Linked DNA regions of Kluyveromyces lactis. The protein of the gene in region 1 interacts with the protein of each later gene in a pairwise test. Links are inferred from orthologs where the notes say so. Each region holds a gene or a part of one and is shown on either strand. Other genes may lie near its edges. The genes, in order: PAN1, GTS1 and SLA1.

Region 1 (8,908 bases):
AAAGGATAAGGAATAACCAATAGAGCTGGTACTTTGCGGTCATTGGGAGGCTGGTTCAACTGTGAATATTTGGAAGTGAAGATCCAATACGATTATCAATTATGAATCAGATAAGGTCGATACAGAAACTTAGTGAAAGGGAGTTGGAATGTGGGATTCTAAAGCCAGAAAGCTCATGGCATCATGAGTATAAAGATCAGGCCTACATAAACTTTGGAGGGATGCACCTCGAATTGACAGAAGCTGATATTCTCACCATATTCTCCCAGTACGGCTGTCCTGTGGACATCAAACTTGTACGCGACCAGACAACTGGAAAATCTAAAGGGTTCGGGTTTCTCAAGTATGAAGATCAAAGATCGACTATACTTGCGGTGGATAACCTAAATGGAGCCAAGGTTTGTGGAAGACTGATACGAGTAGATCATGCTTTTTATAGGCCAAGATCCGATGAAGCTGAGTACGAGGAAGCTGTAAGACAAGAGTTGGAGAAGGATTTCGCAAAAACAGGAGACGTACCGAGTGAACCCATGAAGCAAGAATCGGTGGCTGACCCGTTGGATGAGTTTGCTGATCCAATGGCTGCGTTTCTGAAGAAATGAAATTCACATTCCTAAAGGAACAAGTACGGAGCAGTTCTTTTATGACAACGTAGACTTTTAGTTTCAAATGATATTTATGTACATATCCTGTAACTACTTTTCAATAATTTAGATACATGAATTTACGGACGCGAGAGCATATAACTTATGGCATCGGTGGTGGTGGAGGGATGACCGGCACTGGAGGAGCGGGAGGAGCGGGAGGGATTGCGCCAGTAGGTGCGACAGATACATCTTCAGCACCTGGTGTATGGAACTTATCTTCCTCATCAGAGGCCACCGACTCTGGGATAGATAGTACGTCGGATGCATCATCCGGCTTTGGTTCTTCGTTCTCTGCTAAAGTTGCAGTTCCTCCTACTTTTAGTAAAGGAGCTGCCACAGGAACAGCAGGTGCTACGTCACTGTTTATTTGAGGCAATGGTGGGGCGATAGGTACTGGTGGGGCACCAGACCCTTCAGTAATCGACGTAGGCAATGGAGGTGGAGGTGGGATCAGGGATGATTCGCTTTTAACTAAAGGCAAAGGTGGTGCAATAGGAACAGCGACAGACGATTGTTCTTGAGTGGTTGCAGAAATCTGTGGGAGAGATGGTGCCACAGGAACGGACGCGGTAGATGTAGCAGGAACAGCGGTACTACTGACATCAACAGCTTTGTTGGCTGTAGTATTTACCTTCTCTGTTTCGTCATCATCTGACCATCCGTCACTGTCATCCAAGCCTCGTTGAACCCTTCTCTGCTGTTCAGCTGCCTTCAGATCAAACGAAGATGATTGTGAAGGAGCTTGCTTGAAAAATGGATTTCTGCCACCAGTTGGAGTGTTATTCAATTGTGGGGTACCAGCACCAGAGGCGGGTTTTTGCTGTGTTGCTTCACTCTTGCCAAATGGATTATATTGGTGATGTGATCCGGCTTGTGATTGGTTTCCAGTAGGGTTTGTTGGTGTAGGTTCATCATCCCAGGAGTCATGACCGTTATCATTCTTAGTTTCTGCTGGTGATGAGCTGGTTTGACGCTTGGCTGCTAATCTAGCTTCTTTTTCTTGTTTTTTCTTCAGTTTCAGTTTTTCTAATTGTTCTAACAATCTTCTCTCCTCCTCGTCCTCCTCATCTTCATCATCATCGTCGTTAGCTTTTGGTAGATTGGAGTTGTTTACCGCAGCAGCAGGTTGACTGGGTTGTTGGTAATAGTTAGGTTGCTGTTGCTGCTGTTGCTGCTGCTGCTGCTGCTGCTGCTGCTGCTGTTGAGGCTGTTGTTGCTGAGTCAATTGTGGAGGATTAGGTGATGATTGTGAACTCCCTGATTTCTTTTTGATTCCTAATGCTGCCAATTTTTCTTCCATCTTCTTTTTAGCTTGTTCTTTGACATATGCAGATCTTTCTTCAGGTGTTTGGAAACTTGAGTACGAGTCTTTTTCTTCAGGCGCACGAGCGTTGTTTCTATAGGTTGCTGAAGAAGAGATTTGAATACCGTTGGAGTATCCTGCGGTATTGTAAGAAGAATTATCGAAGTTTCTTCTGTTTTTCCAAGATATGATAAAGTCTCTGACTTCTGGTTCTAGACCGATACCAGATTCCCATTTATCCATTTCGAGGCCCATTGAAGGAGTTCTTCCGTGAATTATAGCTTGCACCGAAGAAGAGATCTCTTGAATCCAGGTACTGATGTTATTGATGGCAGATTGGTTCTTTTGATCATCTTTTTCGATAGTTTCAATTCCTTCGTTGAAATGTTGTGCTTGTGCCTCCAAATTATCGTAATTTGGTTCAGGTCTACCGACTAAAGTACACATTCCTGCAGTCAGGGTCAGTCTTTGCCTTGCATTCTTACAGTCTAACTCAGTGATTTTACAGTTTGGGCCACTACCACGGATTGGATGATCTACCTTCAAGTGGTGCAATGCCAACTGACTTGAAACCAATTCTTTGCTCACATCAGAAATTTCTTTAAAAAGGTTTGGAATTCTGGCTGTCAAAGTATCAAATCTGGATTGTAAATCATGTGGCACAGCATTGTTTGCAGAAGGTGATTTTTTTGAGGTTGAGGGCAACGCTTGAATTTGAGATTTCAAATTTTCAATTGACCGTAATAGATCAGCATTTTCAGACTGCTTTCTTTGCGAGTCATTTTCCAATCTTAATTTTTCCGAGGCAAGCAATTCCTTCTTTTCCCTAATTAAGTTCTTTAAGTTTTCAATCTTCTCCTTATTCTCATTAACCTTCTTAGACTGATCGATTGTCTTTCTACGATTTCTCGAACTTGGCAGTAATTCGTCATCGTTGTTTCTAAATCTCAAACCATCTTCCTTAGTTGGCTGTCTATTATTTTTATCAACACCTTGTTTCAATTGATCTTTGACTGTGTTTAAAATCTTTGTCGAGGATGGAATTAGACTTGGAGGCAACGTATTTGGTAGAACCTCACCGTTCAACCTGCGATAAACTAGATGCATACCAAGTGCGAATTCTTGTTTGTTCAAGTTACCACTATTGTTTGTATCACATAGATTCCAGATATGTTCTAGGTCTGACCTGTTCAAACCAGATTTACGGAAAATTTCAACAGCAGTTGCAGAGTCAAGGTTCCCTGTTTTCTCAACATCATAAGTCTCAAAAATCTTGTAAAACAATGATTTTTCTTCTGGAGTGATGGCCTCTTCCTTTCTTGCAATGAACTTAGAAGCAAGATTAGCTGAAGTGTAAAGATCGTTGTTACCAAATCCTGTCTTCTGAGCTTGAAGTGGCGCAGTTGCTTGAAAATTGGATGGAGGTAAGTATCCAGTAGCTTGTGGTTGCAAAAATCCACCTCCAGTAGCCAAACTTGTCTGCATTGGAGCTTGCTGTGTGAAAGATGTTTGCGGCATTGACCCTGGTGGTGGTATGTTCAAAACAGAGCTAAATCCACCAGTGGTTTGAGCGTTCAACGGTTGATTGAAGGAATTTTGAGGCATGAAACCCGTGGATTGTGGTTGTAAAGCTTGGGAAGTGTTACCAAAAGAAGTCTGAGGTGCTGCTCCATACCCACCAGTTGGTTGCTGAGTCAAACCCTGGAAACTTTGTTGCTGCGGTTGTTGTTGTTGTTGTTGTTGTTGTTGCTGCATCTGCTGAGGCTGACTTCCGAACGATAGCTGTGGCATATAGCCAGTAGGCTGGGGTTGCATCATTGATATTCCAGCAGTCAAGTCATCGAACGGTGTCTTAGGTTTTTGTTCGACTTCCGAATCATTCGAAACACTGAAGTTAATAGCATCAACAAAACTGGAAACCTCCGCCTTGGTTCTCGAATCCAACTCATAAGGAATGGAATCACCTTGCAATACAGAATTGACTAGATACATTGCCAATGCAAATTCTGGGAAGAGAAGCACACCAGCCTTATTAGTATCTGAGAGAGTCCAAATTTTGGCCAATTGATGAGGCTGTAAGCCAGATTTGACCAAGATATTTCTGCACTGGTCACCAGTTATAGTGTTGGAACCAGGAGTGACAACCGATCTAAACAACTTCTCAAATTTGGCCTGATCCTGAGTGGTAATGAAAGACAATCTAATGGCAGGAATCTTCAAAGTGTTGTCAACACCAGTATTCGCGAAGGAATTGATGAAACCGGTGGCGGTTGGCTTCAAAGGTTCCAAAGGCTGCTGCTGAGAATAGAAGCCAGTCTGTTGAGGCTGTAACGGACCTGTTGGTGCATTGACAGCAGTAGTGCTCATCCCTTGATTGAAAGACGTGTTCATTGGCATTTGTTGTTGAGGCTGACCAAAGGATGTTTGCGGCATCATAGAATTGAATCCCGTCAATTGTTGGGTCAGTGGCATTTGTTGTTGCTGATTACCGAATGGTTGTTGCATGCCTTGTTGTGGTTGTGATTGTGGTTGTTGTTGCTGTGGCTGTTGTGGCTGCGCCTGTGTTTGTTGACTGAAACCTGTAGGCTGTTGATTCAAAGCGCCAGCGTTGCTAAAGGTTTGAAATCCACTGAATTGCTGCTGCTGGCCCTGAGTAGGGACCTGTTGTTGATAAAAATTCCCATAACCAGTTGACTGAGGTTGGGCATTGAATTGCTGTTGCCCACCAAATTGCTGCGGCTGCTGGGGCTGCTGCTGGTACTGGTTGTACATAGCAATTAGTAAATGGTTGGTTGACCCTTGAACTCGCTGAGCAATACTGCGATTCGCACCTCCTAAATCAAGATCAAAGTTGTCTTTAAACCCTTTGAATGGGGAATCATTTCAACCAAGAATTTCGTCAAAGTCTCCTATTCGATGATCACAAAATACGAAGAATATCGAAGCGTCAGTGTCAGTGGACGGATACTACAAGAACACTCGAGTCCGAGAGTGATACTGCGTCTATAAAGCAGATTACACCTCGGGGAAACTTCGTGAGCTATCTTCGCATGATTCTGGAGCAAGTTGTGCGGGTATAGGGTACATAATACGGCTGATGTCACTTTAGACATCTGTTTAAAAGTTTAAGTTAAACTACGTAAGTACAGGATGGTGACAGAGGAAGTGTTTTAATGAATACCTCTACTACACCATGACAGTTACACTATGATCAAAATATCAAAAGGCCAGGGGGGTTGGTAAGAACAGGAAAAAAAAAGATCAAGTTAATGGCGTTGGAGATGAAGACACTACTATATTTCCATGTTATCATCAAGTTTGACGTTTGAATTCCAGATATCCGAAACAGATTGTAAACGTGAAATAGTATCGGTATCGAATTTGACTATGGTTCCTACGTTTTCTTTTGCTGTGGCACAATAAGTGTACTGATGACACTCCTTGATTTTTTCCCAGGGATATTGCCCAACATTCGGCGTGATATAACCACTGATAGATAATGAAGAATCATACATTTGCTGTAAGGCAACAGGGTTGCCGTATTTCTCTTGGAAATAGTCAGGGTCGTGGTCGAAATCAGCCACGGCACAGTCTTGTACCTTACACTTCTTCAACCCACCGTTGGACCATAGTAAAGTACCTTCTGTGCTGACGTGAGCCATTTGGGTGCCACATATTTCAAAAGTATCATCAGGCTTGTTTTTAACGGTACCCATGATGGAACCTTCAGTTGGGTATATAGAATATTTCTCTCCGGCGAGCAATTGGCCAAGCCAAAATATTTCTTTATCGCCGTAAACGCATCTTTGAAGCTTACCATCGATATTCATCATAGTTGAGATGAGTAGACTAGATAATTTTTTAACTCGATCAACTACAACTAATCCACTATCTATGTGATGTAGTTGTAAGTTATGGAAGAACTTATAGTATATCTGCTCTTCCATAGATAGAGTATCGATATTGATATTATCATTCTCCACAAGTTCGAGGGGGAAAGTAGATCTATGGCTCATGAAATGGGTTTCTTCTACAGACGGGAAAAGCTTCTTTAATGTATCTGTACAATAAATAAAAGTTTTCTCGCCTATAATATTTCTGTCTCTGAATAACAGCATGCCAGTGTCCTGATAACCTTTGAAATCAAAATAGGATTCAAGACTGGCAAATGACACAGAGTCCGCATCCAGTAGAATACATTCAGAAAAGGTATTGAACAATAATGCCATCCATTTATTTATGAAATAATGGACGTATTGACCAACGAATGAAGCATCGATTAACGGTTCAATATTGACAAAATAAACCTGCTGTGATAATTTTTTTGCGTTTAAGAATGAATGAATGTCGTAAATGAAGGCTTCAGTAAGCTCAGATCCGTTGTGAATAACTTGTATTGGAAGTGTATTATTTAAATTCTCCAAAGTGAGAAGTAACTTCTTGAACTGGTCACCGTGCCTCAGCCCCAATGTCAGTACAATTCCCTTCCCCTCTGCAAAATTATTCCAATTATAGAAGAATGAATAATTATCATCCATTTTCCAGGTGTCTTTACCTTCTAACAATGGGTTACTAAAAGAAGGAATCAACGTCCAAGGATTGACATGTATCATTTTAGGCCACAAATGTCTGAATGGTGTCTTCTTTGAGAGGAAAGGGAATAATCTCGATTCAAGATCGTTTGGCTTCACGACTGATCTCTTGAACACCTTGGATGTGGATAAACCTCCACTGATGAAACAAGAATCATACATCCTTATCCGTTCTAACATAAGCTCTGCCAAGGGGTCATCCAAATTATTGTCGTTATGGAAGTCTTTAATATGATCATTATTCCATGTTGGGTTTATTTCCAATGTTGATTCGAAATAAAAACGGCATTTCTGCTCTAGGGGTAGCGTTGGCCAGTCCAAACCAATCTTATGATACTTATTAGTAGCATGTAGAGCCAACGAAAGCCATTTTCCGAGGTTAAGCGAGCTTGCGAGTCTATAAAATGGAGAGTAAATTAGTGCTCTTTTACCTTCAAAATGTGGAACAGTTGAATTTGGTACTGCTCCGCTTGGTAATAGAAAAGATATAAACAGCAACGTAGTTACAATCCCAAGCACCTTGATGCTAAATATCCTTCTCCAACGAAATTTCATCGCTTCAGGGCCACAAGCATAGTCTCTCGGATTTCTTTCTTGTTTTGAGTGCAGATAGAGTCTCAGCCTCATCGGACAATTTGATTTACTTTGTTTATTCATTACATATTTTAGATTATTTGGCTTGTTAACTGACATTGAATAAACAAAAGATAAAAAAAAACATCACAGACCCCTATCATCGATATAATAGGACCCGAATGTGTATCGTTACAGTATATCAACAAATAACTGCCTTATGCCTTTTCTTTTTTGATATATATATGCTTTATTTATCATTATGCGTATATGCCATGAATGTTCGGCGATTTGATGAATAATTTAAGTTTAGCTTTTAAGGACAGCCCCAACTGGGACATCTCCTCCATGACATGAAATAATGTGCGCTCATTCATACTCTAAATTTTTTTTTGAGGTTGTTAAGCTATTCATGTCTTTAGTTTATGCAAGTTTTGGTAAAAGTCCTTTACCTTTTCATTAACCTTAATTTTATGAGGATCAAAGTTTGTTATTTGTAGTCTATCCTTCGAGACAGCTCTTGATAATGCCACATAAACTTGACCTGATTCAAAGGTCCGTTTCAGGTCTACTTTTAGTCTATCGATAGTTTGACCCTGGGATTTGTGGATGGAAATTGCCCAACATAGCATTAAAGGTAATTGTTTCCTGACAGCAGAATCCTTCTCAGTTTCTCCGACAGAGAATTCTTCTGGTTCAACTAGTTTAATTTGGTATCCTCTGATGTCTTGTTTGTCTATGAATTTCACAACAGGGAACATGATTGTCGATAGAATACCGGGCCCATTTACGATTTTACTTGCTTTATCCAATACGAAGTTAAGAACTTCTTGCCTGTTTGTTGGTCTAAGATTGATATCCCGTTGTAAGTCCGAAGATCTACCAGATGGTGGCACACCAATGGCTCTGCAAACGCATCTCATATCTTGTACAACTTCCGGATCGCTTAGATCAGGGAATATCTTGGATGCTTCCAAGAACAATGCCGAAGTACAGAAAAAGAGGACTCTTCCTAAGGAACCATTGACTAAGGTATCATCGATGTTTTTCAACATCATTACTTGGGCATCCTCCTTCAGTTTGATTTCTTTTTCTGCCATAACGTTGTTAAGAATATTAGAATTGATATTAGGAGGGATAAAATCTACTGCCTTGTAAAGGATTTCATAACCTGGCAACCTCTCTAACCTACGTTTATTGGACAGTTCCACTTCACGTCTCGTTGGGTAAAGTTCGGTTGGTTCAATGCCATCGTCGTATTCCACTGGTGCTTCAAATTTTTTAATTAGTTTAATGGTGTCGCCAGATGTGTTACCCATTCTAATACCGTTCAAAAGATCAATCAATTCATTATCAGTCTGCCTGAACACCTGTTGTAATAGTATGGTTTTGTGGATAGCATATTTCCATACGTTACTCTCAAAGCAAAAGATTGGACCAGCCTTATTTGAATCTCTATCTGGAACAGGTGGAAGCTGGAAAAAATCACCTGTGAAGACCAACTGAATACCACCAAAAGGTTTAGTTCTATTCAATAAACCTCTTCCAATTGCATCCAGTTTATCAAGGAAGTAGCCATCAATCATTGAAATTTCATCCACAATCAAAACTTTAGTTCTCTTCCATCTGTTAAGACTAGTCTTGTTTCTTTTGACCATATTGATAAGTCTATTAGCATCACCTTGGCCAATACCTACACCAGAGAATTTGTTAATTGTAATACCTCCAATATTAACCGCCGCAAGACCTGTGGAAGCAGTGACCGCTACAGCATCTTTCCCATATTTTGCATT
Region 2 (7,660 bases), on another chromosome or scaffold:
CACCATTTTGATGTTAATTTCATTGAAGCAGCTAAAATAGTAAGAGCTTTTAGATAAAGAAGTAAAGATTCGGTGCACAACTTTTTCAACTCGGGGGCCGGTATTTGAGTGTCAACATTGGTGGCTGATGAAATCTTTGTTGTTGCTGAGGTCAAAGTTTGATTAGAAGGTGGGCGGCCTTGATCCAAATCTTCTTCATCCTCTATCGCGCAACTTCCGTTACTTAGACGTTTATCTGACAGTGGGTCATAGTCGGTTGAAGAAGGAGGAGTTGGAAGAATTTGAGAGAATTTCATTTCAGCGAACGAATACATGACAAATGCTTTGGCCGCAAGCGATTCCACTGCAGGAGTTATGTTGGAATCCAACATTTGTTCGCTGAAAGGATTTAGTTTATGATCAGCCCTCAATACTGCATTTTCCGTTAGCTCCTGAAATATCTGAGGATTCAGTAGTGTTTGTTGAGGTGGCGAAGAAGTAGCCTTTGTATTATGTTGATATCCGAAAAGCCTTACAGAAGCTAACCCTAGTGCCTTCGATAACGCATTCGACGGGCTTAATGACGATATCGAAAGCCTTCTCTCCACTAAAGAGGCTCTTCTTCCTCCTGATGCATCGCTAGAAGAAGACGTTCTGTATCTCAAGGGTTTTATAACTTGTGCCCCTTGGTTGTTTGTTATGGGTCCATTATTAGCAAAATCATCAGCCAAAGAATTTACTTCGACAGTTTTCTTCTCCACAACAACATACTCCTTCTCCAAAATCAAATCATTGTAAGAGCTCTTTAGCCTCTTCTGACTTGCAGATTGGTAGCTTTGTTCTGGGTTTTGAGAGTTATCTTCTGGGTGGATCTGTTGATGTGGTGGATGGTTTGTTGCGAGCCTCTCTTTACCTGAGGTTCGCCTAACGCCAGTTTGTACACTAGTGTTCTCGTCAGTTTGAGTTGGTGGTATATGTGCAGATTCCTGCTGCTTTAATGGTTTGACTAGATATTCTGAAACAAACATATTACTTTCAGCGACATCTTTACTCTTGGATTCTAAGTCTGGCTCATACGATTGCTCGTACCTTGTCAAATCTTCTGTCACTACTTCGTTATTGAAAAAATCAGTGAACCCCATACGGGAATCCGGGTCAAAAGTTAGCAACCCTCTTATTAGATTGAACAGTTTCGGTTCAATATAGCAATTTGAGGGCACTGTAATCTCATCGTTGGCCTTTTTAATCTTTTGAAACAACTCGAGATGGTTTGATGCTTTAAAAGGCGGTCTCCCGCAACACATTTCGTATAGCACCGTTCCTACTGACCAAAGATCAGCCTTGGCATTGTATTTTTGATAGTTTAATATTTCTGGAGCCATGTACAATGGTGACCCGCATAAAGTTTCTGCTAGAGAAGTATTAGGCAAGAATCTAGCGAACCCAAAATCCGCGATTTTCAAGATGGGTAAATTGTAGATTCCCACAAACCCCAACTCATGAAACGTCTTCGGATCATTATAATCTAATAACGGTGTGCATAACAATAAATTCTGTGGCTTGATATCTCTGTGTACTAGATTCTTAGATCGCAAAAACTTAAGCGCAGAGGATAGTTGTTGTAAATAGTTTACCACAAGAACCCGATTTAATCCATTATGTTCCGTACTTGGTGGCGGGTAATGTTCAAAAACAGTCTTTATCAAAGGATGCTTGAGCACTAGGTTCTTCCTCTTCTTTATGAAAAACGTTAAATCACCTAGTGCACAGTATTCCATGATCAAATAGAAATCAGATGAAGTCCGCTCACAATCTATTAACCCCACAATATGCGGATGTTTGATCTTCTTTAAAATGGCAATTTCGACCTCCAAATTCTCCAAAAGCTTCTTGTTCTTTAGCTTCGACCTCGACACGGCCTTGATAGCTATGTTTCTCCCATCTCTTAACGATAGACCTTTGTAAACAACCGCGAATGAACCCTTACCGATCTCCTTCTCCACGGAATAGTTTTCTGTCGGCAAACGAATGGCTTTCGCCACAACTTTGTCGTGCGATTCTGAACTCATGCTCAACCGCTTTCCATATGACTACTCAGTGCCAGACCGTTGTCATTCTTTGGCCTCTTTCTTTACAAGGGGGGGCGTTCTTATTTCTTATAAATGGTTTTTAAGGATCAAAACTTAGTTTGTAATAAGTCATTTTGAACTTTATATAGAAATAAAGAAACAAAGAAGGAAAGACAGATATATCGCAGAAAACGTACACAGTAAAGGCAGTGGAAAGACACTGGTGCTTGGTGGAACGGTTTTAAGAAAACGCTCGTTAAGTGCAAATAAGATATGATTGGTTATGAGTCAATGGGAGGTTTTTTTTTTGATGGTCAGTAAGATAATAGTGGTGATAGCTAGGTAGTAAGTAGATCGTGGATGTTCCGGATAAGAGTGTATAGCAGACGTTGTGAAACGTCAGAGGAGGAAGACAAAGTTAGATATTAGTTGTAGCGGTGTTTTGGTTTTAGCCATATTTACGTATTATATAGGCAAACATAGGTATGAGAGATTAAACCGTAGTGCGGTAGCAGATGTGCAGTTGCAGCTGCAGCTGCAAAGAAGGCCAAGGGATGATGATCTATTGGAATGGGGGGTAGAATTGTTGTTGGTACTGTTGTGGTTGTTGGTATTGCATTTGTTGTAACTGTTGTTGCTGCAGGAGCTGTTGCTGTTGCTGCTGTTGTAGCTGCTGTTGTTGTAGCAGTTGCTGTTGCTGCTGTTGTTGGTCCTGCTGTTGTTTTTGGAGATTCAGGATCTGTTGGTATTGTGGATTATCCGGTTTGATTTCTACGGCACTAGAATATAAATCTGGTCTTTGATACAGTGATAATAGTGTGTTCTTATCTATCGATGGTTGAGCAGTGAATTGAGGCTGTACCTGTTGGGTGAACTGAGGTTGTAATTGCTGTGTGAATTGGGGTTGCACTTGTTGTGTAAACTGAGGTTGAACCTGTTGTGTAAACTGAGGTTGAACTTGTTGTGCCAATGCTTGTACCTGGGCCTGCTGCATTGCCGCATAGGAGTTTTGATCTACATAAATTTGGCCGGTAGTTGGATCATAGTATTGTTGTACCCCATCGAATACTGCTGGGCGAGGTTCTGCCGATGCTGTACTAGGTAGGCTTGGTTCACTTGTTCCATCGAAAACGGCTTCTTGCACTTTGTTGTCCGGCCTTTTTGGAAGCGGAGGTCTGTCTCCTTCTCTTGATCTTGGTCTACTGCTGGCAGATGAGGCAGAACGGTTTCTTCTGGACCCGGACGCAGATGATGGGCGGGATGACTTGTAGTCCAATTGTGACGAATCATCCTCTAGATTGAAATCTTCCACCTTGACAGCGGTATGTCTGAACTTACCCTTTAAATATTTATCCCTGATAAACATTTCAACGGCAGTACGATCCTCGTCACCGTCAAATGGGAAAGGTTCTTTCTTAGGGTTCCAAAAACTGCTGTTATGTTTGTTTCCTCCAAGATCGGCAACAGTTTGAACGTCACGCTTAGACCATCTATCAAGAGATAAAGATTTCACGATACTAGTAGCACCATCTTCTCTGCTGCCTAACACTTTCCTATGTACGGAAGCACACCGACCGCACAAGAATACACCCAAGTTCACTGAACAGTAGGTAGGGAATGGTGTCCCACATTCACCACATTTATTTGAATTCTCACCAGCGTTAAGCAAAAACTTTAAATCATGTTCTACAGATTCACCTCTTGATCGTCTCATTTTTGGTTTCCTCGCTTCAGTATCTCCTCAATAAACCTTACCTAAACTCGACTAGTCCAATTTGGGACCCCTATTTGATATAAACGTAATTCTAGCGTTGGGTCTTTATAATCTTATAATATGAAGTATTTTTTTTTATTTTCAATATCCGTTCTTCACTTTCACCATTTTATGCTTCGTTCATTCATAGAACTTCTGTTCCTGTTCGGAATTTCAACCGCATAGAATATTTCAAGAGCTATTTTTGTTCAACAAACGTAAGTCTATTGGAAGCAGTCAGTACGATATACCATCTTGGATACCTTTTGAATAATGACGTGATAGACAGGCTTAAGCTATGTACTATCATATTGCCTCAGGAGAGTTTATTCTCACGTGGTCTGTCATTTAGCCGGAGAATAGGATCTATTTTAATGTTTCGTATATAGCAGCTAACCGCCTCCCCAATTATAAGCAACCATGGCTATTAATATGGCATCTCTGAATTGATTCAATTACTCTCGATTCTGATACTTCTTTCACCAAAATATGTTACTGTTTATAAATTTCCCCATGGAAAATGACATTTCGTCTTCTTTTATATATTTTTATCAAGGTTCAGCGGTTAAAAACAAACAGAAGAAGAACCATCATCACATCAAAGACATCAGCTTCAATTAAGTCTATTAAAAGGTTCAAATAATTCAACATGGCCCCAGGTAAGAATACCGTTTCGCTTGCCGAGAAAAAAGCACGTATCCTAAGGTTTTTCCAAGAAGAACATACCGTATACAACATGAAGGAATTAGAGAAATATATCCCCAAGAAATGTGGCATATCTTCCATGTTAGTGAAGGTATTAGTACAAAAGATGATTGATGAAGATGGATTGATCAGTGTGGAAAAGTGTGGGAACATTAACGTGTATTGGTCTTTCAAAAATCAGATGCAAAATAAGTTGAATAGCGACGCCAGTAACATAGAGAAAAGAATAGAGCATGAGAAAAGTGAAATTGCTCGGTGTCAGGAATTGTATCAGAAGGAAATTCAAGGCCAGAGGAGTGATACGTTGAAGAATAGACGCGGCTGGAAAAGAAGTGCACAGCTAAGTAAATTGAAAGAGGTTCAAAAGACAATTCGTGAATTGAACTCCAAATATGAAGAATTATCCAAAAATAACTGGACTCCACAGCGCATCAAACAGGAGAAACATAATTTGTTTGAAAAGGCAAGTTTTGCTGTAGGTCTTGCAGATAACATTGATTGCATCACTGGGCATATCTCATCTACGTATTGTGTTCAAATGTCTGATTTGAAAGTTGAGTTGGAGCTTCCTAATGAATTCAATCAATTTGAAACAATACTTGAAAAGTTGGGTCACCTTTAGTAACGAGAGGTAAGCAGGGTTGATACATTGGATACTATATATACATATACGATGTTCATATACTGCTTGATAAGCTGATTGATATTCAGAATTATAGTTTTTTTTTGTGATTTTAGTTGATTATTATAGTATAGGGCATAAAATGTTGGTGGGATAAATATGATATCAGTGTCAGGTGTAGTAGGAAGTTTGAATGTCATTTAGATGCTGAAATCCCAATATCATATCATAAATAGTCTCGTTAGAACTTTTTTTCTTCATTATTTGAGGTCATATCATGTCGCAAAATACTGCGTGAAAAATCGTTTAAAGTTAAGGCAGAAAAGTCTAAATAAGCGCTATTAAGAAGAATGTCACTTGTCCTCGTGTGTATGTGTTTTCAAATGTTGACTTAAGTTGTCACTTCTGCTGAATTTTTTCCCACAAAGATGACAACCGTACGGTTTCTCACAGATATGCAAAGACCTGATATGCCTTTTCAAATGCTCTTGTCTTTTGAATCGACGATCGCAGTATTCACAGCCGAATGGTTTTGAAGCATCCAGTATTGGCGAAGGTTTCCGTCCCCTTGTCTTTGGCACACCTTGTTGTTTCTTTATTATCGTTGAAATCGAATCCTTGCTCGAGATGACTTTTGCCAATGATAACGATTCCGCTTTCTTAACCTGTACCATTGGTGGAGGAGACAGCAAAGAGGAGGATGCCGAGCTTATACTTCTCGATCCCGTTGTATTCTTCTTCACTGCAGACATGATCGACGAATTAGACGAAAGGATCAGATCTGGTTCCAGACTATTTATCTTTGTGCTGTGTGAACTGAGAGTTATCAAATCAGAGTCATTTTTAGTCTCCCCAGTAGCCAACAACTTGATTGGGTTGACAATCGCTGCTGCCATCGATGGGTTCCCAGTCTCCACATCGGTCATTTCGTCATCATCAAATTCCGCATTGTGAGAAGAAACTGTGGCAGGAGCATGTTCAGCATGCGCATGCGGAAGACCAGCACCATGAGACGTGGATACTGGTTCTGAATTCCTCAATATAGGTACCGTTGGTTTTCGGGACCAGAAGTACTTCTTCTTGAAGATCTGCTGAGGTTCATCATCCGATATGAGGTCTCTATTGTTGTTGTTCCTGAACATCTTATTCAATTTGAATAGTTTCTTCACCCCACTGTTACCAGTACCATCATTCTCATCGTCCAAATCCAAGTTCATGGACACATCTTCATCCAATCCAGATAACAACAATGCCATTGAATTCGTTGTATGTGGTACTGTCTGCGTTGCATCGTTCACAGATTTTGACCCCACGTTGACAAAAATTGACTCTTGATCCATGTCGATATCAAACTCGTTATCCTCATCAGAAAACACAGATCCGGACCTAGAACTACCCATGCCCCCAAGATTACCTACCCTACTACTACTACCGTTCATCACATCTTTGTTGAAAAACTCATACTCATAGTACATTGGATCGTCACGATGGTACTCGCTTATCGATAACCTTCTGATATCGTCGCCCATGGCCCTGATTGAAGTTCCTTGCTGGAAACTGAAGATCTCATCCTCCAAGGTCTTTCCGGTCAAATCATTACTCAGTTCTTGCTCTTCGTAATCAAACTGCCACTGATTATACTTATTAGCTCCAATATTGCTATTGTCCATATTATCAGCCGGTGGTGTCCTTTTCAATTGCAAATTAAACATCGTGCCATCCCGCAGAGTCTCCTGTGAAATCGTCACAAAATCATTCTGATACATCGTGGGATTCATCCTTAGCTAATATAATATTGATCTGATGGTTTACACTCGACTCAATTCCAAGATATCAGAGGTAAGAGAACATGCATTCAACGAAACAAAGAGAGACTTAAATACAATCAGAATAATTCCCTTTCAGAAATAAATATTAGAGATAGGTGAAAGAGAAACACAAATCAATATAGCTGAATTAAAACTCCAATTGCAACCGCAACTCCAACTGCTAGACCGAAAAAATACTCTCTTCCTGGATCCCGTTCTTATATATAGGAATGTAAAGAAATCTTCCTTTTTCTAAATCTGTCACCTTTATCATTCTTTTCTGCCTTAAAATTGCTTGAGACAGGGTGTTGGTTTTAGTACTTTTTTTATTTATCTCACCGAAAAGCCCTTTTTACACGGTTTTACGCTTTTTGGAATTTTGCAGTCTCGAATGGCTTAGACGGGGCCGTGCGACGGGATGAGAAAATTGTAAAATGCGTAATAATGCAGCACAAACGCACGGAAATGCAAGCCGGCGTGCCAGAAGGGAGAGAAGATCAAGGCTTTGAGTGTGACTGGGGGAAGGCTGGTAGGTTTTAACGACATATAAAATCTACCGAAGTCCCTGGCATTGGACGGAGAGGGAGGAGTGGTTGTGCTGTTGTTTGTGTTTAATTACGCTGGGAAAATGTAAAAAAAGTGCGATAAGCCGCACATTAGACCTAAAAGATCTGAACTGTTTAGTCTGTATGAAAACTGATATGTATATTATAGTAGGAGGCAG
Region 3 (6,876 bases), on another chromosome or scaffold:
TCAGTTGAGATTGATTAAATACAGTTCTTATGATCTAAATTACAAATTATTACTCCAATCAAGACTGAAAACTGGGAATCAGAATCCAAACGGATTGCTGGATGACGCATTAAAGATATTTGCTTGTCTTTGTTGCTGAGCTTGTGGACCGTTACCAAAACCGAATCCAGTTGGCTGATTCTGCAGTGGTTGCTGGGACAAATTCATATTCTGGAAGGAATTTGTTACTTGATTGACACCTCCTTGGTTATTGAATGATGTTTGAGGTGCTGTATTCATACCTCCGGTTCTTTGTAAATTGATACCAAATGACGATTGTGGCTGGAATCCACCAGTCGTAGTTTGAGATAAACCAAATGAAGTTTGTGGTAGGTTGCTATTGAACGGTTGTTGAACATTAGCACCACCAGTTAATTGATTGCCGAAGGAGAGCTGAGATTGTTGAAGAAGAGCGCCGCCAGTAAGTTGATTTCCGAGGCTTGGTTGGTTTTGCAAATTGATACCACCTGTAAATTGATTACCAAACGTTGTCTGGGGTTGTATGTTCATTTGATTGCCGGTAAATAGATTCCCAGAATTGAAGTTTGGCTGGATGTTCGCTCCACCTGTGAATTGGTTCCCAAAGGTAGTAGCCGGCTGTATATTCGCACCTCCTGTGAATTGGTTTCCGAAAGTGGTAGCAGGTTGTAGATTAGCACCTCCAGTAAATTGGTTTCCAAAAGTGGTGGAAGGCAGCAAATTAGCACCTCCAGTTAATTGATTACCAAATGTGTTAGTTGATTGCAATGGCATTGCACCGGGCATTTGCGTGTTGAAGGAAGTAGGAGGTAAGGCACCACCAGTCCTTTGTAAAGGCATTGCGCCTCCTGTGATACTTGAACCAAAGGTTGTAGCGGGGAATGCTGTTTGGGGTTGTACACCAAACGTCGTTTGTGGCATCAACCCTCCAGTGTTCGCTGGTATCAAACCGTTCGCAGTCTTTTGAACTGGCAAGACAGTACCTGTTGGTTGCATACCAAACGTTGTTTGAGGTGCAATCATACCTCCAGTCCTTTGCAGAGGTACTAGCCCCCCAGTCGGTTGGAATGGCATTAAACCGCCTGTTGCTACTGGCATCATAATGAATCCCCCTGTAGTAATAGGGATTAGATTATTACCACCAGTTTTGAATGGATCTAATGGAACCAAAGAAGTACCCGTCTTATTTGCTGACAGAGGGGTTTCTTCCTTTTTATTCGAACCGTTAGTGGTGACAGATTCTAGATGCTTGACATCTGGAGCTGGTGTTTCTTTCTTCTTCGGCTCTAAAGGTTGCAAATCAAGCAAATCTTGAAGTGACCCAGAGAAATCCTGAGCCTTGTTGGAGCTGTCGCTGGCTTTAGCAGCAGGTCTAACAGTCCATGCATCATCATCTCTATTCGATGAATTACTATCTGGTAATAGATTATGAGATACGCCTGCAGATGCGGGAGCACCTGTATGGTTAACCTTCAAGGATCCATCGGCTTCAGTAAACAATCCAGTTGATGGAGAAGCCTCCTTTGTTCTGCCAAACTTGTTATCTAGATACTTCATTACTCTTAAAATGTCACCTTCACGTAGACCTAAGTTTCTTAATAAAGAAGGCTCGATATCTGGCAAGATTTCTTCACTAATTTGCTCTCTTTCGAAATTAATGGTGTAGCGTTGACAATTGTTGACATCAACACCAGCATTCAAGAAAAATTCGAACCAATCGTATTCGGGATTCTTGGAGCTCTTTGTGACAGGGTGCGTTTTGCTTGCTTCACTGCCTGGTCTTGGTGGTTTCACAGGTGGCAGTTCTTTGTCTTGTGCACTCCTCAGCTTTTCTCTTTCGCTTTCCAAGAGATCTCTAGCCCTCTTTAACTCTTTAAGTTCTTGCTCTCTTAATTGTCTATCACGTTCTCTTTCTTCAAGTTCCCGTTCACGCTCCTTAGCCTTTCTTCTTCTTTCACGTTCTGCGTTTACTGCACTACTGTCATTATTTGAACTCTTGGGTTTATGTTTGAATTTCTCCATAGACATACCCGTCAATCTTTCCACATACAAAATATCATCTTCGGACAATTTGTCTGCAGCAACAGCAATTTTCACACCGTTCACCTTATGTAAGTTAACCTTCCCATCGACACAGCCCAAAAACTGTGCTTCAACTTTGAAAGTACCACTTCTGTCTACCCAAATTCTAACCTTTTTAGGATCAGGGAACTCTTTATCATCAGTTTTCTTCTTCTTGGAGAAAAAGCTCGAAGTTTTAGACTTTTTCTTCGATACATCTTGATCAGCATCCTCTTTCCAGCTGCCAACTAAATTTTGAGTAAAGTTAGAAGTGTTAGATCTGGATCTGGTCTTAGACTTACTCCTAGAAGGGCTTTCATCAGAAGGCCTTGATGAGCCTGATCCGCGTGTTTCGACAAATTGTGCGGGGACAATGCCTCTTTTACCTGTTTCTACAGATTCACACATATACCAGTCTTTCGAAGTCCTGTCATCTAAGATATTAATGTAGTCGCCTTCTTTAACGGTGAGTTCATCAGGAGAGTTAGCGAAAAAGTCATATACAGCTTTAGCTCTTTTCTTGGTCATGGCAGGCCTTGAAGCAGCTTCAACTTCACGTAACCCAACTGCTGTCTGGGCACCTTTAATCTCACCCAAGACGCCCATGATCTCGTTAGCCAGATCGTTAGAGCCAGTATGCAATTCCAAGTTAATGTAAGGGTTTTTAAATTCAAGAAATAGATGCTTTTTTTCATTGTTATAGTTGATCAAATCTTTAACTGCCCATTCTTGATCCACTTTTGTCTTTGCAGAGAAGAAATGAATACGTTCAGCAGAAACAGTCAACGTAGCTTTACATTTCTTACGACCATCAACCTCACTAACAGACCAAACATGTTCAGCGGTCGAGGCTGAAGGTCTTCCATTTCTAGATGGCAGTGGAGGTTGATCTTCCTCATCGTCATCGAAATCGTAATCACGCTCATCATCTGAATAATCTCTAGTTATTTGGGAAGTTCTATTATTGTCTCTTGGGTCATCACGATAACTTGTTTGGTGTTCAGTATTAGAAGGTCTTTGAGGCATTGCTGGAGGTTCTGCTACTGCTGACTCACGCTGGACTTCTGTGGTTGCCGTATCGTTTCTCTTTGGAGGTGGAGGGAGCAGTGAAACATCAACTGGCATAGTTGTATGAGACGCAACGCCTGCATTTGATGCTGGTGGTGGTGTCGATGTAGATGGAGCTCCTGGAGCATCTGCTGTACTTGCAGCGCCAGCAGGGGTAGATCCGCTTCTGAATGATGGTTGAGAATTGACTCTGTCCAACCTCTGAGGTGGAGCTGGAAGTTCAGAAAGGGGTAGAACAGCTGGGGCTTGGTGCTTAGACTGTGTAACTCCTGCAGCGGGACCTCCAGCTTGCTGCGATTGTTTTTCCACGTAATTACCTGGCACAAACCCAACCTCTGAATTCTTGGTATTCTTCACCAAGAACCAATCTGCATCCCTATCGTCATACAATTGGAACGTATCGTTTTCATGGAATACCAATTCCTCATTGGCATTCTGAACTTGTTCATAATCGTAAAGCGCAACTACACTCCCAATCACTGGAGCCTCTTCAATATATGTCTTGGGGACCAAACCTACGGGTTCATCCTGATCAGATCCGATAACTCTCTTCTTAACGGTCCACCAATCATCAATGCTAGATTTTTCTAAAAGATACAATAGATCACCCTCTTTGACAGTTAGTTCCTCATCTGTTTGCGCAGAATAATCGTAAAGCGCCTGGTAAACACCCAAAAACACCGTCATTGTAGGTATTTAAATGCGTCAGGAGCCAAGTAAAAGGACCTATAAGCTTCCAGATTGTATACAAGGCCAAGAGGATCCCTATACAAATCGCCAATCAAATTTAATTATCCAAACTAAATTGAAATCAAAAACTAAAAGAATGCAGGAATACGAGACACTTCCTTTTTGTCGTCTCTTTTCGGTATTATGCTATTTCCTTTTATTTCTCCGTTTTGATTGGTTTTTTTTTTTCTCTTTTGCACAATTGCAATGCAACTCGCGCACTCTATCTAAACCTCAAGAGTTTGTCTGGCCTTTCTAACCCAATTCAAGCTAAAACTTGTTTATACGAATTACTTATATATGTATAGACATATATATATTTATATATGTTCTAAGTATATTGATAGACTTATTCAATTATTTTGGGCCTAATCTTTTCTCATTTTCTGATTCTCTCATTTTCACTCAGAAAAAGAACAAATGAAAATACCGACAGCACGCAGCACCGGTTCCTGGCAGTGTGGTACAAGAACCTGCAGTTTTCGAATTGTTTTTCTGTGATCCTTTGGTTACCCGGGGTTGTGTTTCGTACATGATGATACGGTGATCCCGGATCTGGAAATAAAAAGGGGTTCTTGCCCAGTTCTAGTCATGTGACTGCGAATCGCAGAGATCTGATAGAAAGAAGAAAAAAAAGAGATCATTTCTATATCACGTGATTGATGTTTCAATTCCATCATGGGTTCAAGTATCGTTATTGTCATCATCATAGAAGTCATAAATAGAGCATATATACTGTTTAGGCGAACGGAGGTTAAGTTTATTTACTCGCTCTCATACGATCTAGCTCTTTGTCAACACGAGCTTGTAGATTCTTCTTAAGTTCAGGCATGAACCCTAAAATAAATAGTAATTCGTAAAGGATGAAGTATGGCGCTAGCACAAGACTTTGCACCAAGTTATCGAGAAGCGCAGGTTTGCGCTTCTCGAAAACACCGTGGCCAATGAACTGGAAGATCCAACTGATCACAAATAATATCCAGGCAGTGGTCTGTGTCATCTTAATAGTCCCGTCGTTCAAAAATTTGCACGTCAGTGCCAATATCAACGACGCAAGGATTCCGGTACCTACTCGTAACAGTATATAGAACAACCCAAATGACAACGCTAACAAATGAGTCAAGGTATAGCCATTCCAGATCTTAACGTCGTTCAATATACGCATGGATGTAAAGAGAATCGTTGGGACAAAAATGCTATGAATTAACACATTCCCAGTATTGTTATGATAAGCTTTGTAGAACGCTAGTTGCGTCTCTAGATCTAGAAGACTGGGACTCATTCTGAGACTTGGTAGCGCAAAACCGTAACACGGATGCTTTGCTTGTGTTTTTTGATGTTGCTGTTTTTTTTCTTATTGATTGCATTATCTCAGTTGTCTTCCCCTTCCTTAATATTTCATTTCAATTTTAACTCTAATTTCAACTTTTAAATAATTTTGGTGGCAAACACATCAACGCACTACAGTTACCTTTACCAAGATATACGAAGAACCTGGCAACTCATTGATCTTCCTGTAACTACTGAATCTCAATCGTCAATTGGGAATCCCTATAACCACATATCCTATGTCTGCTGCAGGTTACGATCGTCACATTACTATTTTCTCTCCAGAAGGTCGTCTTTACCAAGTCGAGTATGCCTTCAAAGCGGCCAATCAACCTAATCTAAACTCAATAGCCATCAGGTCCAAGACCGCCTCTGTGGTAATTAGCCAGAAGAAAGTCCCAGATAAGCTTTTAGATCCTAAGACGGTTAGCTATATTTTCCCAGTGGCAAGACATATCGGGTTCTGTGCCACAGGACCGGTTCCAGATGCCAGAAATATTGCATTGAGATGTAAAGCCGAAGCTAGTGAGTTTCGTTATAAATATGGGTATGATATCCCATGCTCCGTACTAGCTAAAAGAATGGCCAATTTGTCGCAAATATACACACAAAGAGCTTACATGAGACCATTAGGGATTATTTTGACTTTTATTTCGTACGATGAGGAAACAGGACCTGCTATTTTCAAATGTGACCCTGCTGGTTACTATACGGGGTACAAGGCTACTGCCACTGGCCCAAAACAGCAGGAGTTGAACTCTGCTTTGGAGAAGCATTTCAAGAAGTTAAAGGACGATAAAATCGATGAGGAAAGTTGGGAAAAAACCGTTGAGTTCGGTATCACTACCCTAATTGACTCATTAGGAACAGATTTCAGCAAAAATGATCTAGAAGTTGGTGTAGCGATTAAGGATAAATTCTTTACGCTAACAGCTGATGAAATTGAGGAAAGATTGGTCTCTATTGCTGAACAAGATTAAGGTAGAAAATTTCTTTCCCCCTCATATAAATATATAATTCAAAACAATATCACTTATTGTAGTTCCAACATCAAATCTCATACAAGCTACTCTTGAATGTTGAGGTATTTGAAATCATTCAGCGACTAATGGTTCAATAAATGTTACAATTTTCAGCTATACATATAAAAGTATATATGTATATATAGGTATTTGGAGAATCTTCTTAAAAGAGTTCATAGTCTAAAATTCGTATGGCCACAAGCATCAGCTGTCAGTATCGTGTTCAGTTCACTTCCCTTGCCTATCAAATAACATCATCATGACAAGTCAGTTACCGCCTCTCTAAATCAGTATGGATATTAATTCCTATAGTGTTTTTGTTTGTGTGGGGCAGCTCCATATGGGTTACCACCACCCATTATGGGTAGATCAATGGCAGGTACCATGCTTACACGTTCTAAGGCCTTTCTTCCCTCTTCAAATTGCCTCTTCCTAAAGTACGCTGCAAATTCGTTGGCCGATAAAGACTCTAATTTCGATTTTGGCACGTATGGACCAAGCAATTGGTGGTCCCAATGATACTCTGCAAATGCAGCTGCTTCTGCCTGCTTAGGTGAGAGTGGACCTAAGTATTCATGAACTGGCACACGTCTTCCTTCAACTGTATCCTTAGGTTTCAACTCGTCTCTATCTTTCCTCTGTTGTATTT

What was found.
Region 2: the proteins of PAN1 (region 1) and GTS1 interact in a two-hybrid assay, tested with the Saccharomyces cerevisiae proteins (2 studies listed by BioGRID, with this or other methods). The link is inferred for Kluyveromyces lactis from reciprocal best matches to the Saccharomyces cerevisiae genes PAN1 and GTS1.
Region 3: the proteins of PAN1 (region 1) and SLA1 interact in binary tests that used the Saccharomyces cerevisiae proteins (3 or more experiments, as listed by UniProt). The link is inferred for Kluyveromyces lactis from reciprocal best matches to the Saccharomyces cerevisiae genes PAN1 and SLA1.

Annotation. Positions count from the first base shown.
Region 1 is NC_006040.1:1,149,185-1,158,092, reverse strand, and holds PAN1 (actin cytoskeleton-regulatory complex protein PAN1), read right to left. Parts: upstream 4,723-8,908; coding exon 748-4,722; downstream 1-747. Other genes in the region: U2 snRNP complex subunit IST3, read left to right, coding at 102-602; KLLA0_D13376g (alpha-mannosyltransferase), read right to left, coding at 5,244-7,235; RRM3 (DNA helicase), read right to left, coding at 7,526-8,908.
Region 2 is NC_006039.1:1,493,347-1,501,006, reverse strand, and holds GTS1 (Gts1p), read right to left. Parts: upstream 3,763-7,660; coding exon 2,611-3,762; downstream 1-2,610. Other genes in the region: serine/threonine protein kinase ATG1, read right to left, coding at 1-2,048; MND1 (Mnd1p), read left to right, coding at 4,451-5,128; COM2 (Com2p), read right to left, coding at 5,482-6,906. UniProt on the Saccharomyces cerevisiae protein: Appears to modulate the timing of budding to obtain an appropriate cell size independent of the DNA replication cycle. Transcription factor involved in both heat resistance and flocculation.
Region 3 is NC_006037.1:444,954-451,829, forward strand, and holds SLA1 (cytoskeletal protein-binding protein SLA1), read right to left. Parts: upstream 3,835-6,876; coding exon 79-3,834; downstream 1-78. Other genes in the region: 2-hydroxy-palmitic acid dioxygenase MPO1, read right to left, coding at 4,637-5,158; SCL1 (proteasome core particle subunit alpha 1), read left to right, coding at 5,445-6,185; LDB7 (Ldb7p), read right to left, coding at 6,527-6,876. UniProt on the Saccharomyces cerevisiae protein: Component of the PAN1 actin cytoskeleton-regulatory complex required for the internalization of endosomes during actin-coupled endocytosis. The complex links the site of endocytosis to the cell membrane-associated actin cytoskeleton.